Linked DNA regions of Caenorhabditis elegans. The protein of the gene in region 2 interacts with the protein of the main gene of each other region in a pairwise test. Each region holds a gene or a part of one and is shown on either strand. Other genes may lie near its edges.

What was found.
Region 1: the proteins of mxl-3 (region 2) and gei-3 interact in a two-hybrid assay, tested with the Caenorhabditis elegans proteins (one large-scale study listed by BioGRID).

What each region holds. Positions count from the first base shown.
Region 1 is NC_003284.9:12,808,620-12,816,571, forward strand, and holds the start of gei-3 (HMG box domain-containing protein), read right to left. Parts: upstream 5,021-7,952; coding exon 4,988-5,020; intron 3,953-4,987; coding exon 3,838-3,952; intron 3,388-3,837; coding exon 3,286-3,387; intron 3,236-3,285; coding exon 2,964-3,235; intron 2,918-2,963; coding exon 2,825-2,917; intron 2,681-2,824; coding exon 2,564-2,680; intron 2,495-2,563; coding exon 2,385-2,494; intron 2,180-2,384; coding exon 2,030-2,179; intron 1,788-2,029; coding exon 1,625-1,787; intron 884-1,624; coding exon 710-883; intron 664-709; coding exon 559-663; intron 1-558.
Region 2 is NC_003284.9:13,348,118-13,354,448, reverse strand, and holds mxl-3 (Protein mxl-3), read left to right. Parts: upstream 1-3,644; 5' UTR 3,645-3,658; coding exon 3,659-3,751; intron 3,752-3,802; coding exon 3,803-4,076; intron 4,077-4,128; coding exon 4,129-4,273; intron 4,274-4,328; coding exon 4,329-4,524; 3' UTR 4,525-4,810; downstream 4,811-6,331. UniProt on the Caenorhabditis elegans protein: Transcription factor which regulates the expression of genes involved in lipid metabolism in response to nutrient availability. Binds to the E-box motif 5'-CACGTG-3'.

The DNA of each region.
Region 1 (7,952 bases), 540 kb from region 2:
AGACTTGTGACTAACCCGCGCTACGGGTCTGATTCCTTAGTTATTTTTGATTCTGATTTCGTTTTCGTTTGCCTTACTTAGCAGTGATTGTTTTAAATGATCAGTTTGATAAGGGTGTATATTTTTGGTTGGTAATTTTGGAACTTTTGAGCTTAAGACTTTTTGGACTTTATGTAAAGTAAGCCCGATACTGAAAAAATAGTTGAAACTAGAATTAATACCTTATAAGCTTAAATGATGTGTTTGATTGAGTCACATATAACTCAGTAACTTAATAATAAATAAACTAAAAACTACAGTTCTAGAAACTCATGAAGAATTTTGAATAATCTGCCTGAACAAAAAACAACATGAAATACAGTAACGGGTTAAATGATTAAAAATAGTATCACTGCCCAAAATAGTACTTTGAATTCTTTTCATTCTTGGATCTTGTGATTTCGACGGTCATTGCCATGAATTTCAACTCGATTCAGTAGAAAACAACAATTATAGGCAAAGAAGAAAGAGGACATGATATGAAGAAACATTTATCACAGCCTTGCTGGTCATACATACCTTATTACAACCTTCTTTCGAACACAACCGTCGCCACTGCTTGCCATTGAACTTTTTTCGAATACCGCACTGCGTCGTCACGATTTCACCTTTTTTGAAACGTTGCTGAATAATAAAAAAAACATTGATGATAACAACATATAAATCTTACCTGATCTAACATGGCTTTCGTAGCACAAACTGGAGCGTTGATACTGTGAAACATACTTGACTGCGGCGTATCTACGTCGGCCTCGAATATTCCGGAATCTTGCGATGGATTCACAAACAGTGACCGTGAAGCAGCAGATGATACGGTGGTTGGTGATGGTTCACCCGACTGGTCCTGGAAAAAAAATGATGATTCAGGAGGTGGAGTTACGAGAAGGATTACCGTAATAAGCTTCAGACAATAGAAATACCTAATACTCATTGCCTTATTTTTTATTTTTCGAGTGGATAAAGAGTAAATGGAGGAGACTAGGCGTCGTTGTTATTACACTAACACTATTAGCAGTTTTTGTGGAATCAAGATTACTAGTGATTGATGAATAGATGGGAGCTGGGAAGAAAAGGATTTGACTTATCAATTGTTAACGAGAAAAAATCTTATTTCTCAAAAACCCCACACTCAATAATATAAAAACGATGACGTGATTCATCAAAGAACGTTAGTAAGGTAAACGTGTCTTTTAATAGGGTAGGATTAAATTTTCTTGGAGAAGTATAAAGTGCACGTCATTTTCTTGAATGATCAGTAACTATTTTTTTTATGAACAAATGCGATTTATAGTGAAACTATAATAAACATAATTCGAAAATATTTTAATTGCACATTTCCCGTTGTGAGAAATTTTGAGGAAAAAGTTTAGAAAGTCTATCAGACCCATCAGAAAAAAAACATTAAGTGGTACAAAGCCTCACGAAAAAGGAAATGAAAATTTCAAAAATTGAAATACACCATTGGAAAGTAATGAAATAATTTTGAAATTGTTATTACTAATAATTGATATACAAGTTTCAAATCTATACCTAATAGTCACAAATCGGGAAAAATTATCCTATCAAATAATTATGACCAAAATACCTGATTTGACGACTCTGGAAGCTCTTCGTCAGAATCTATTGAAACAGTTTTTGAGCTCGATTCCTGATTTGAGGTGCCAGGTTGTAACGGTAACACTGGCACGATCACCGTACCAGCCGGTGATGCGTGAGTAACAATCTGACCTGTTGAAATGGGTGTCGGTCTGAAATCAGTTTGAATATTATTCTCAACAAACAAACGAACAAATTTATTATTTCCTTCAAACCCATAATTTTCCCACGCCAATCTTCTGCACTTAAAGGATAAACTTATACTATTTAAGTTTGTTGGTATATGTCGCTGTGTTCACTCAATAATTGTGTACTCGAATAAAATGACACAATGTTATAATGAAACCGGCGTATATGAGAAATCTGACATTTTCAAAAATTGCAAGTAACTTACATGGGAGTGATATTAATGACATGTTGTAATTGCTGTGAACGCCGCTGCTGTTGTTGCAGAGCCATCAATAAAGTAACGTTGTCTTGCGAATTTGTGTTTTGTCGGCCGTCTTCGCTTGTGCTAGGTAAGGACATTGAAGATGTTGGTACACTGGAAAATTTTATTGAATACTGCTGCTTAAAAACTTTAAAATGAAATGCTTTCTAAAAACTGAGTAATTTGCATTTCAGTTATCATTTGAAAAATCAAGTCCGACTAATCAATATTAGAGTCAAAAACAAAAACTATTTTTATCTGATAGCTTCAAAAAGTGAAAACATAAACTCAAAAAATATTTCTTTAAAGTTTACCCTACCTGTTAGAAACCCGTTGTGGATTTATTAAATCCTCATACCAGGGCGGCCGGAGCAATCTCAAATTTGCCCGAGACACTAGACTTGAGTAATTTGCGTTGGTCACTTTCACCTGCAAAAAATTGGCATTAATTAATGTACTTGCAAGTTCATAGTTTTTGCAAGAAATCTAGTCTAGTACCATAAATTTCGGCGGATTCCCGTTGCTTGATTGAAGTTCAGCCGTTCTGTAAATTGTTTCTGACTTCTCCAGTGGTAATCGTACTGCCAGAATTGTGTTTGAGACAAGTGTTGTTAACTGAAATATGAAGAGTAATAAATGTTCTTGAATATATTTTAACTGATGGGGAAAGGTATCTTGAAATTTCATTTTTGAAATTTCTTTAGTGTTATTTGTTAGTAAAATGAGGTTATCTTTATACGCCAAAAAATTAAAACTTACGTCGGAAAGACTAGGAGCCTGATCGGCAATCACCATTGTCAAGTTAAACTCGCTTGTTACATAGTCATATCTAGCTTCTCTACCATCATCCAACTGAAAATACTTTATTTTATTCTTTATGTGCTCAAAATCCACTAACCTGCACAATTATATCGCGGTTACCATATGCAGTTTTCACAAACCCCGGCTGATATACACCAGGAGGCACTCGTGCCAAAACCCGATGTCCCAACCAGTCTACCAGAATAACGTTAGAGTTAACAGATGTCGCTGCGGCTATTAGATCTGTGTTATATTGTACGGGTATCGGATGGTGAATACGAGTAGCTGCAGGTGAAGGTAAAGGTTCAGCTGTGGTATCCGATGATGGTTGCGATGTCTGTGGAGGTGGAACGTCGTCTGAAGGTTGGTCTGAAAATCAATTGGTAAGGAGAAAATGCGAAAAACTGAATTAGTCTCACTTGGTGGAGAAGACTTCTGAATATTTAGATTACGTAAAATATCAGGGTTAAAAAATGCGGAGAAGCGGAACGCGCCGATTGGGCCAGCTGGTGTTGGCGCTTCTGGAACACTTATGAGTTGTGATGTTCAATGCAAAATATGGCGGGAATGAAATCAAAAAGAAGCAACAAAAAACATTCCCTACTATGTACAACAAAAAAAAACTACACTGACAAAAAAGAGGCGCCCATTGCACACCTATCCAAGCGAAAGTCCGGATGCGAGACCGAGAATTTATACGTTTTTCGGAGAGTTGCAGGAGAGCTCAAAAAGGGAACAAAAACCAAATGGAACACAGAAAGTTGTACTACATAAACTATGAGAAGGGTATTCCATTCAAAGTAAACCACACAAAAAGATGAAGAAAAAAGCGAAAATTTTTGTTATAAACGTTATTGACAGAGCAAAGCAGATGGCCAATCATCATTCGGGTGGGAATAATTTTAGGTTGCAGTTGGGAGGATGCACTACACGTGAACGGCAAAAGAATACAAAAATATTCTGGAACTTACGTGACGAGTTTGTGGGAGACAGATCATCTTGGCTTTCTGACGTGTGACTTCGAAACGCGGTCGCTGCCGCTGATGGCAGCGATTGTTGAGTGAGCAATGACGGAATGGCCGCAATCTGCAGAATCGGATAGATAAAAACGCTATCTTACGTCAAAAAGTATACATTCGTCTGGTTAGAAAAGATTATCCAATGATTTTAATCAGCTTTCTGATCAGTTTTAAATTACGTTTCTTTTTCTTTTCTGATCAATGTCCTAAAGTAAATAAATAAGAAATATTTGTTAGTTAGGGGAACAAAACCAATAAGTACCAAATATTTTTATACATATAAGTGATGAAACATATGTACTTATTAAATGTTCTCAATTTCATTAATTTCATTTTGTAAATAAACGTGGTATGGATTTTCTCCTGCTAGACTTCGAAATGATTATTTCCTGAACCCAAACTATAAAAATATTCTACAAGTTTCTATTTTTCAAAACATACAAAGATACATTTTAAAATAAAGGCATTAAATACCCAAATACCGAAACCCATTCTTGAGGAGTTGAAATGTTTCATTTATAAAATTACGAAATTTTCTTCAATTTTATGGAGTAAAACTTTAAGGAAGTTAATTGAAATAAATTTTTGGTAAATAATTCCTTTTTTTAATCAAAATAAATTGTTAAAAACTCAATTAGGGGGGAGCATGAATAAAATTTTTGCAAACAAATTTAGCTCAAACAAATGGTTCAAACCTTGAAATAACAGGATTTAAAACACAATCGAGGAGTACTAGAAAATAATAAGGATTTTTGACCATTAGCCTTTCAAAAATGTTTTAGTATAGCTTCCGAATTTTTGAACTTTTTAGTAATATTTCTGAATGAATAATGTTAACCTGCTAATTATTCCGGTCACTAGAATAATAGTAGACTCGTCGAGAAGCTGGAGACATATATAAATAGAGGTTTTCAAAACACTAGAATTAGAAGTACTAACATTATTAGAAGTCAAAGGTAATACTAGAAAGTTGCGCAAAAAAAATAAAACACGGTAATTTGAAACTAAAATCCATACAGATACAATTTTTCAGGTCAACCTAGTTGTGTTTTTAGTTGGTTCGTTTGGCAGAACGTACTAGAAGAAAACAATGATACTGTACCTGTTTCGGAGATCCGCCTTCTTGATTTTCCATCGAGATGATTTCAGGAACGATTTGCAAACTTCCTGTATAATATATATTTTTCAATTTGAAAAAATATGCAAGATAGTTCAACTGAAATTTAAATATTTTTATGGAGCCAAAATATGTACTCCACCCTACTCCAGATGCAAAGAGCATTCCAAAACGCAGAAAAAGAAAATACTTTCAAACTCACCTTGATTTTCAAAAAGACTCATGGAAAAAATACCTGACGCGTGTACTGCATGGGAAGCTGCCGAGCACTGCCTGCTAGTAGTTGCACATATCACAGATTGTGGGTCAGTCCTCCTAAACAGGACCTGAAATCAGGCTGCTCAATGAACAATGTGAGGTTTCCCGCCGAAGCGAATGTCTAGAGAACGAAAGGTTTGAAAAGATTTGAATAATTATTCTGATGAAAAAAATTTGAAGAAAAAAAAAGAAAAAATAAAGCTTTAAAAATGAAGCCTTGAAGATTAAGTGACTCAAGAACTAGAGGAAAATGCTAAGAAGTGAAATGTAATGGAACAGAACAACATTTTCGGAGAGTTTTATGATTTTCTAAATTGTGGGCGGATGATCTGGAAGTGACTTGAATTGATCTAATCTCAACCCAATGATGAGTGATTTGATAAGGGGATAAATGCCATTAGGATTTCGAAAAAAAAATTTGAAAACATAATCAATGGCTTCATAATGTGATGTCAAAATAACAAAAGATGATGCACTTCCTAGAATTATAATTGATATTCAACGTTCAAAATTTGAAAAACGTGATATTTCAATATTTCCACAAAAAGTTTTGATCAAGAATAAATCCTACCAAATTTTGAGGACATGTTAGTTCAGAAATTGTTAATATTTTTCGTTTGAAATTTCCGTGGTTATGTGCTAAAACTCGACATCTACATAAACAGTTAGCAATAGGAAAATTTTATTTAGGCTGTGATTTGATGAAAATATATATTAGGTTACTTAAAATACATAAGAACCCAAATTTTATAATTGTTTTAAAATTCTATTTAATAATGAAAATATCACTAGATATTCTCTTATTCCTTAATTTTTACACTTTAGACACGTTCAGATAACAATGTAGGTAAGCAAGGTGCTGGTAAAAATTTCTGCGTCAGACTCCAGTTCCGAGATATCAAAACGATATTCAGTGTTCTATAAATTTTACAACAAAAAAATCACGGTGGCACTGAAATAAGTCGTCGCTGATTTCAGGTAAGCTTTATACCATATTTTCTAATCCTCTAAAAATCTTTCCATGATGTTCTAAAAATAATGTATGGCGTAAATTTCGCACAGATTAGGGATGCTTTCGCTATTTTGAGAATTACCGAAGGATTTTGTAGAAAATCGGTTGCGACTAAAATTGATAGTCAAGGATCATTTACCTTTGCCAACGACGCGTATTTACAATACTAGAACAAAAACTACGTAACTGCTTACGTCGTCACCCACACCCCCTCCCATCACCTGAATTCGCCATCTAGATCCTGACTCGACCCGTACGCGTACACTGATGACAACATTTGTTGATTCTTCGTTTTCTTTTTTTTTTGGGTTAACCTAATACTTTGCCGTCATCAAGGCTAATTGTATGTTTTGTCGGGCAAAAACATCAGTTCATTCAGCGGTTGGCGAATGAGACTACGATCCCGACGGCAATTTTTACATGACACTTTTTTTTTCGTAATTTGTTGTCTTTCGGGTTGATCTAACATTTAATGAAATTGGGTTCCGAGACCACACCCACTGGAGGGTTCGCATGCAAATTGGGTGGAAAATCCGGGAAAAAGGTCGAACGCGGAAACTCTTTTAGAGACGGTGGAGATAAAGTGAATCATCCTTACAATTAGATAGTAAGAACCTTGAACCGAAAAAAAACAACATCATACAAACAAGAGTGGATAGTTTCCGTGATGAAGAAGAATAGACAAAAACGCACAGAAAATGACAAGAAAATTTTGAGAACCGGTTTCGTTTCATCTCAAGGAAATGGATGGGAAATCGAATTCAGAAAAGTGGGGGAGAATCTTGGAAATGAAAGTTGGAGTTAGATCAAGATGATCGTCTAGGCAATGTGGGTATGTGTGCAGACAGAGGAAAAGCTCAGAATAAAAGTTCGTGAGAAAGAAAGTGACGAGAATAATTCTGTGTGCAATCCCCGGATAAGAAACATTCAATCCGTAATTGAACAAGCTAATCGAAAAATGAATAACTCTGATGTTAGCTCTTTTAATGCAGTGATCTAAACTGCATGCTTCTAAAATGGTAGAAATTTATCATTATAAAAATGAAAACCTGAAATACTTATATTAGGAAGTGGGCGTGACTTGAACTTTCGATCTCAAATCCGGATTTTACTTCAGTTTAAGGTAATGTACTAAGTTTTAAGTTATTTTGAAATAAATGTTATTTTGAAATAAGTTGATGCCTATGACTAAATGTTCAAGTATTGCGAGCAAATTGAAAATAGCTATAATTCGATATTTTTCAGTACATTGACAGTACTATAGAAGCGATAATAGTCTTATAGTTACCACTTTTGTTGTTTGTAAGTAATATAATTTTGACAGGAATGGAGGGTTTTGAAACAAAAGGTTCCAATGAAACAAATTTATTGGAATAAATTTGAAAACATAATTGCGATTCTAGATCTAAAAACTTTTCTAATTTAAAGATTTAAAATGTGGAGTTTAAAAGGTGGAGCAAGTGGGGAAATTATCAAAAACAAGTCAGTGATCAAATATCACAATAAAATGTTTCAAAATAATTTGGAAAATTTTTTTATAGCAAGTCAATAAGTCATTCATCAAAAAAAAGTTCTACCCGTTTTTTTATCTAATTAAGTTTGAAATGTTTATATTCAAACAGTGTAGGTGTTCAAACATGCGACACTTTTAGATTTTTTGAAAAAGTGGCGCCAACTTAC
Region 2 (6,331 bases):
ATTATCTTTATTGACGTTTCCCAAATGAAAACTACAATTTACAGTAAATTACAGTAAAACTGCAAAAATGTTTTTTTTTTCTAATTTTTAGAGATTATCAAATTTTGTCTATAAAATTTTTACTATCCAGGCTACAACAACATTGAAATATACCCGTTGAATTATTTTTATTAGCACGGCCCCCAATATCCAATTGCACTATGATGAATCAGTTGAAACAAGTAGGGAAAAACATAATTCTGAATACAGTTGATTATTGACTGCAAAACCGGCTAGACAATTCCATCAACATATTTGTTTTAATCATATTTTTTAGGGACCTCAACTAATTACGAAGGCTACTGATAGCAAATCGTGGAGAGTGAATGTTTAATTTATGAAATTTTTTCATTCAAATAAAGTTGTAACCGTGTTTTTCCACATTGTGTTAGCATATTATACACAATTTTTAAAGCTAAGATTGAATTTCATGCACTTTCTTTTTGACATAGACATTTTAAAAGATAATTTCTCATAATATTAATAATCAGTCATGCTTCCCCACAGGTGCAAATCATTTTGACCCCGTCAGTCTCTTGAGCGACTACGATATAGGCGCGCTCTTTCTATTTGCCACTACCGCGTTGATACACAATGTAGTCACACTTACTCACGTCGCAACGAGGAGGACCGATCGCGAATTGTTCTCTGTTCACTCGAATTAGTTATACGAGTTTCATCTCTTCCTTTCAATTCACTCTCCTCTTTCAATTGGGTTCATTGCTGAGTGTTTTGTGATTTTTCGATGAACACGCGTACCGCACGTGAAGTGTTGATCATGCGGAGAAATGTCAACTGTACGTTTCTTAAAAGATACTCTATTTTCACTAATGTGCACTGATCAGAAGCAGGAAAGTAGTAGAATCGACGTAGCAAGTCAAGGTGTATTCGGGGATCAACGAAACAACTGGACCAATATATGCTCTTTGATCACGTTGGGATCGAAATTGAAAGAGAATGAATTTTACATCCACCCTCATTTAATCTGTTGAGGGTGTGGATTAGTGTAAATTCCAAGCAATCAGATGACTGCCAAATAGGGGATAAGTTGGCTTAAAAATTAAGAAAAGCTTAGAAAACCACTTTCAAATAGATTAATATATTAACTTAATTGGTATAAAAATGCAATTTCTTTGCGCTCTAAAGTTTGGCGAAAAAACAAATCTTTGATTCATAGCCTTTAATAAATAAGTTTTCAGATTGCATTGAAACAATTAGAATCACATGGTTTAGACACAATTCAAAAATCCAGTCAAGATTGATTCATCCGCACTATAAAATAAAATATTTATAATCATTCACGAGCTTTGCCATAAAATATCTGTATCTAGAGTAGCAGTACTGAAATTGCAAATGGTGGCAAAACTAAGAGTATCCATATGTGTATTTGATTAACTTGTGGTACAATGCATAATTAGCAATGGTTTTGCTTGATTGTAGCGGTTAAATGCCGGTTTCACGAAACCTAAATGTGGTTAATCCAAGGTATATTCAAATATTAAACTTTTGTATTTTTTATTCCGTGTTTACCCGATTACATTCATTTTAGATTTGATTCATTCTCTCGATTCAAGAAAAAAAAACAAAGAAAAACAAGGATTTCTAAAAGAAAACCCAGCTCTATTTGAAATCTTTTTCCCAAATTCCTGGTAATGTACAGCACGGCGGTTTTATCTTTCCAGAGCTACTCCCTCGAAGAAATCTGAGTTGATCCAGAGAGATTAGTGGTTAACGTTTAGATAACACACTTGATCGAACAAGCCGCCACCACGCTGTTTTTCGGATTATTGATATATAGTTGTGATTTTCAACAGATTAGCAAAGGATTTTGTAAAGCTTATCGTCAGCGTGCTTTTTTCTTTTAATTTTTTGCACGAGCAAGACACCCACCCTCGCTTTGTGCAAATGACCCTAGTTCATTTGAACTATAATATTATTGAAATTTCCAATCAAAGTCCATATCACTAAATTCTGTAGATACTGTACAACATCCGAATTGTGAAATCTGATCGTTCTTGGCGCGAAATCATATTCACCCCCTACGTTAGCCCAAAGTACGATCACATTTCTATCGCAGTCGTCTAAAATCAAAATCAATTCAGGGTTCATTAAGTGAGCGTCGCATGACCTACGTGATAGAGCAATTAAACTGAAAAACCCAAACGTTCGATGTCTAAAAATATCATTCCAGAGAAATGAAATACATTTTCAGTAGACCTATGTGCTAGAAAATGTGGAAAAAATTATCATACCACCACCATGACTATTGACAGTGAAAAAAGAGATTTTAAAACTGCAAAAAAGTTTTAAAAATTTAGTTATTAAAGAATTGAATCTGACATTACTCCAAGTCTTACAGAGTTATGTAGCGTTATGTAGGGCGAAAATTTGAAATGATCTGTTGTTATAATTGTAGTGAAACATATATTTTGATGTTCTTCTTTCTTAGTATGATAATCTGCGATTTTTTGTAGGAACGAATTTATTTTTGGTTGAAAGTCAACGACTACAAGGAATTCGAATATATGTTGGCCGTTAATACATTTTTATTTTAGAGGAAGTTTGCCTTTTGACTCAAATTTTTTTCTGTAAAACAACAACACATGTTTAATTTGTTTACAACGTTTAGCTACAGTCCCCTAGGCCACACACTGCTGAAAGAAAAAAAAACAAAAGTAACTAACAAGTTTGGGGTCATAGTACACCAAGTTGTTTGTTTGCAAAGTTTTTTGCCTGAGTCTGTTCACTCCTAGAGGTGTACGGTACTGTTGACACCACCATACATCATTCGGAAGTAATTTGACCTACATTTTGAGCTCACTCAATGTTATCAGAGGTCTTTGTGCGTTGCACACATCACGATGCACGCACACTAAGTCAAGGCAGCCAAGGAAACAAAGTTTCGGGTATTTTTTGTCGTCAAGAAATGAACACGGCACGTGAAGGCGCATGTGAATGAGAGGATGCGTTGCACCCGACCGTCACCATCGAAATTAAAATTGAGCTACGCATTCTTTGAGTGTTTGCACTTTTTGACATCCCCGTGTTGCCATATTTGTGCTTCTCCCAATCAAATTGCTTCTTTGCTGACATCCTCAGAATTTCTTCCAAAACATTTGTTCCTTGTACCCTCTCAAGGAATGCTTCATCTTGATCCTTCCCACAAACGCATGCTACCCTTACGAGATCCCCGCAAGATTCACATGATTTCAGTGATCGGTTGACAAAATGGGGGAAGGCTATAACCTTCTGCTCCAAAACATGGGCGGAGCTACAGAGCTTATATCAAAGAGCGCCACTTCTCCGGGCACCCTAGCACCCACAGTGGCTGAGGTGCAAAGAACACACGCTGACCGCGTGTTGGAGGCGGCGCGTCGACTCCTCCCTTTCTGTCAGACAGAACGCCCCTTTTCCTATATCTTCCTTCTCGCATTGCAGATCATACCACAGTTAACGACACCCTCGAAGATGGTCGCATGGCTCTTTTACATATTTTTTGTTTAATTGTGTATTTGTTTTTGTTTGTGATAATTTTCACTTACAGTATTCTTATATAACCTTCTCTTAAAATTGATATTTCATTGCTATATATATTAAATTTACAGTCAACATCTCTACCATGTCCGCAATCGTTGAAGACATGTACTTGCTTTCTTCATCCATGAAAATGGAAAAACAATTCCGCAAACGCCATCACTCGGATTCTTCCGATGTAAGTTAAACTTCTGTTGTACCCTTATTTTACTAATTGTTCTTTTTCCAGGACGATTCTTCAAGCCCGAAGTCGGCTTCTCCATCCATGGATGATGACCGTCGTGCACATCACAACGAACTTGAACGCAGAAGACGTGACCATATCAAAGATCACTTCACCATTCTTAAGGATGCCATTCCACTGCTTGATGGGGAGAAATCGTCGCGAGCCCTGATCCTGAAACGAGCAGTTGAGTTCATCCATGTCATGCAAACTAAGCTCAGTAGTCAAGGAAAAGCCATTGAAGATCTCACAAGGAAAAACGAGCTTCTTGAGGAAAGGCGTAAGTTACATGGATATCTAGTGGATTCATGAGCTCAATTTCTAATTTTCAGTGCTCGAACGCGAGTCTTCCGGTTCTCCATCTTCCTCTCGGCTTCCAGCTCTTGCTGTTAGCTCAAGCCAAATGCAGCTCACCATGCCAATTATCCCACAGATGCAAAACATTGCACAGCTGTCTCAATACCCACAACAAGCAAAGTAAGTAAACAAATAAATTGTTCCGAATCTGATTTTAACAATTAAGTATTTTCAGTATAATTGCTCAATCCACAAACCCAGCTCAATTAGATGGGCTTATTGCTCTTAACAATGATGCCATCTTGGCTTTACTCGGAAGCTTTCAAAGCGTGAGCCCATCGCTTTTGGATTCTGCACCTGGTACTCCACCTTCTGGCTTTTATCCTTGTGCATTTTCTCCGGTTGATCAACAAATGGCAGTGAAAATCTAAAAACCTTCAAAAAGGCTTTTTTATTTCTTAGATACCCCCACCCTTCGAATTCTCTAATATTTTTTGATCTCATTTACTCGGTCGTCATGAACCCTTCTTCGGACATTCCAAACATCCATTCGGTTTCTCCGGACATACATGGGTTTCACGTGTACTTTAAGAATTGCCTGCTTGATCTGACAATATATTATTTCAGTTTTTTTTACTCACTGATTTGTTCCAGTTATGATATCTTATTTATTGATAATGCCGATAATAAATACTGATAATAAATATTTATATCAACATTTTTTCAACACCAGTAAAACACATTGCAAAAAATTAAAATTTATAAAGGCACCCAATAGAAAGTCTTTCAGCTACCGTAGTTCTTTGCTGCAAAGTAAACAGGTTGTTACTTTTCTTGTCAACTTTATTTAATGGTCAATATACGCGTCAGTAGTCGTATACTTTAAGGATTTTTACAGAAAAAATATTTATGTCTATTCCTCTGGACTTTTGCATGGGGAAAAGATTTGGATTTTAGTAGTGGTCATTTTTATAGAATTGAAATGATGAAAACAATGCTTTTTACCACTTACAAATTAGAGTAACTATTTTCCATTATACATAACAGAGATCTGCGACAAATTTGCCGAAATTGCCCAGCAAGAGAAATTTCCAAAAAGTGGGTTTGCCAAATCTGCCGAGATCGGTAAACTTTGAAATTTGCCACACACATCACAAATTCGACTAACATAATTTGACCGGAACCATTGATTTTGCTCCAAAACTTCTAGTTAAGTAACATGTAAGCAAGACTTGTACGCAGATAGACCACACGGATCTTGTGAAAAAATCAAAAGTATGCTTAGAATTCACCATTTTTGGTGCCCCATACAATATCAAAAATTATCACATTTTTTCGAGCTTTTCCGGCAAATTTGCCGAATTTGCCGAGTTTGGCATATACTAGAAAAAAGAGCTCGGCAAATTTTCATTTTTGCCGCACACCCCTGGTAGATCTAAAAAAATCTGAATACACATAGCACTACATTGAAAGCCAAAAATCTTTGGAATAGGTTTGCTGTTTTGAAATAGGTCGTTTATTGCACTTTGCTCCTGCAATTCTAAACAAGCATGCTCTAAAACATGATATCAACTCAAAAAGTACACGGTACAGTGCTCTAACGTTTTGTTGTAGTCAAATCATATTTCATCACGTATCCAAAAAAAACCGCTCTATTCCACTTTTCTTTCTTTATAATGTGTGTTCTCTGAGGCCATTTCGTAAAACAATATGCGAGGCATATCATCACACGTGTCATCAAATGACTTGATGATATGATTGGTTCAAAATATCAAATGCGAGAATCGCATCGTAAGCCAACGGAAAAATAGTTGTTTCAATTCAAAACACACTTGAGAGAACGAGGACAGTTCACTGAACAACTCAACATTGAACCTTCAAGGAGGAATATCGAAGATCGCTGGGAGTTTGTCAATGAAATATGACGAATATGTTGTGATACAGATTTATCAAGTTTTGCAGTTGTTCTTATTTTCAAGAAAAAAAGCCTTCTGAGAAATTATATAAAATTTACGTTTTATGAGGACCGAATTGTTCGGGGAGAATCAAAAACTTTAGCATCTTTCCCAGGGTGCGCGGCAATAAGACATTTTTGGCAGATGGACATTTTGTCAATTCCTAAAATTAACAGGGTTTGCTAAGAATTGACAATTGTTAAAAAAAAAAACGTCAAAAGTTGTTAACTGCATAAGTTTCACAGTTACTTCTACAATAAATGATTCAGTTACGCTTTTTATA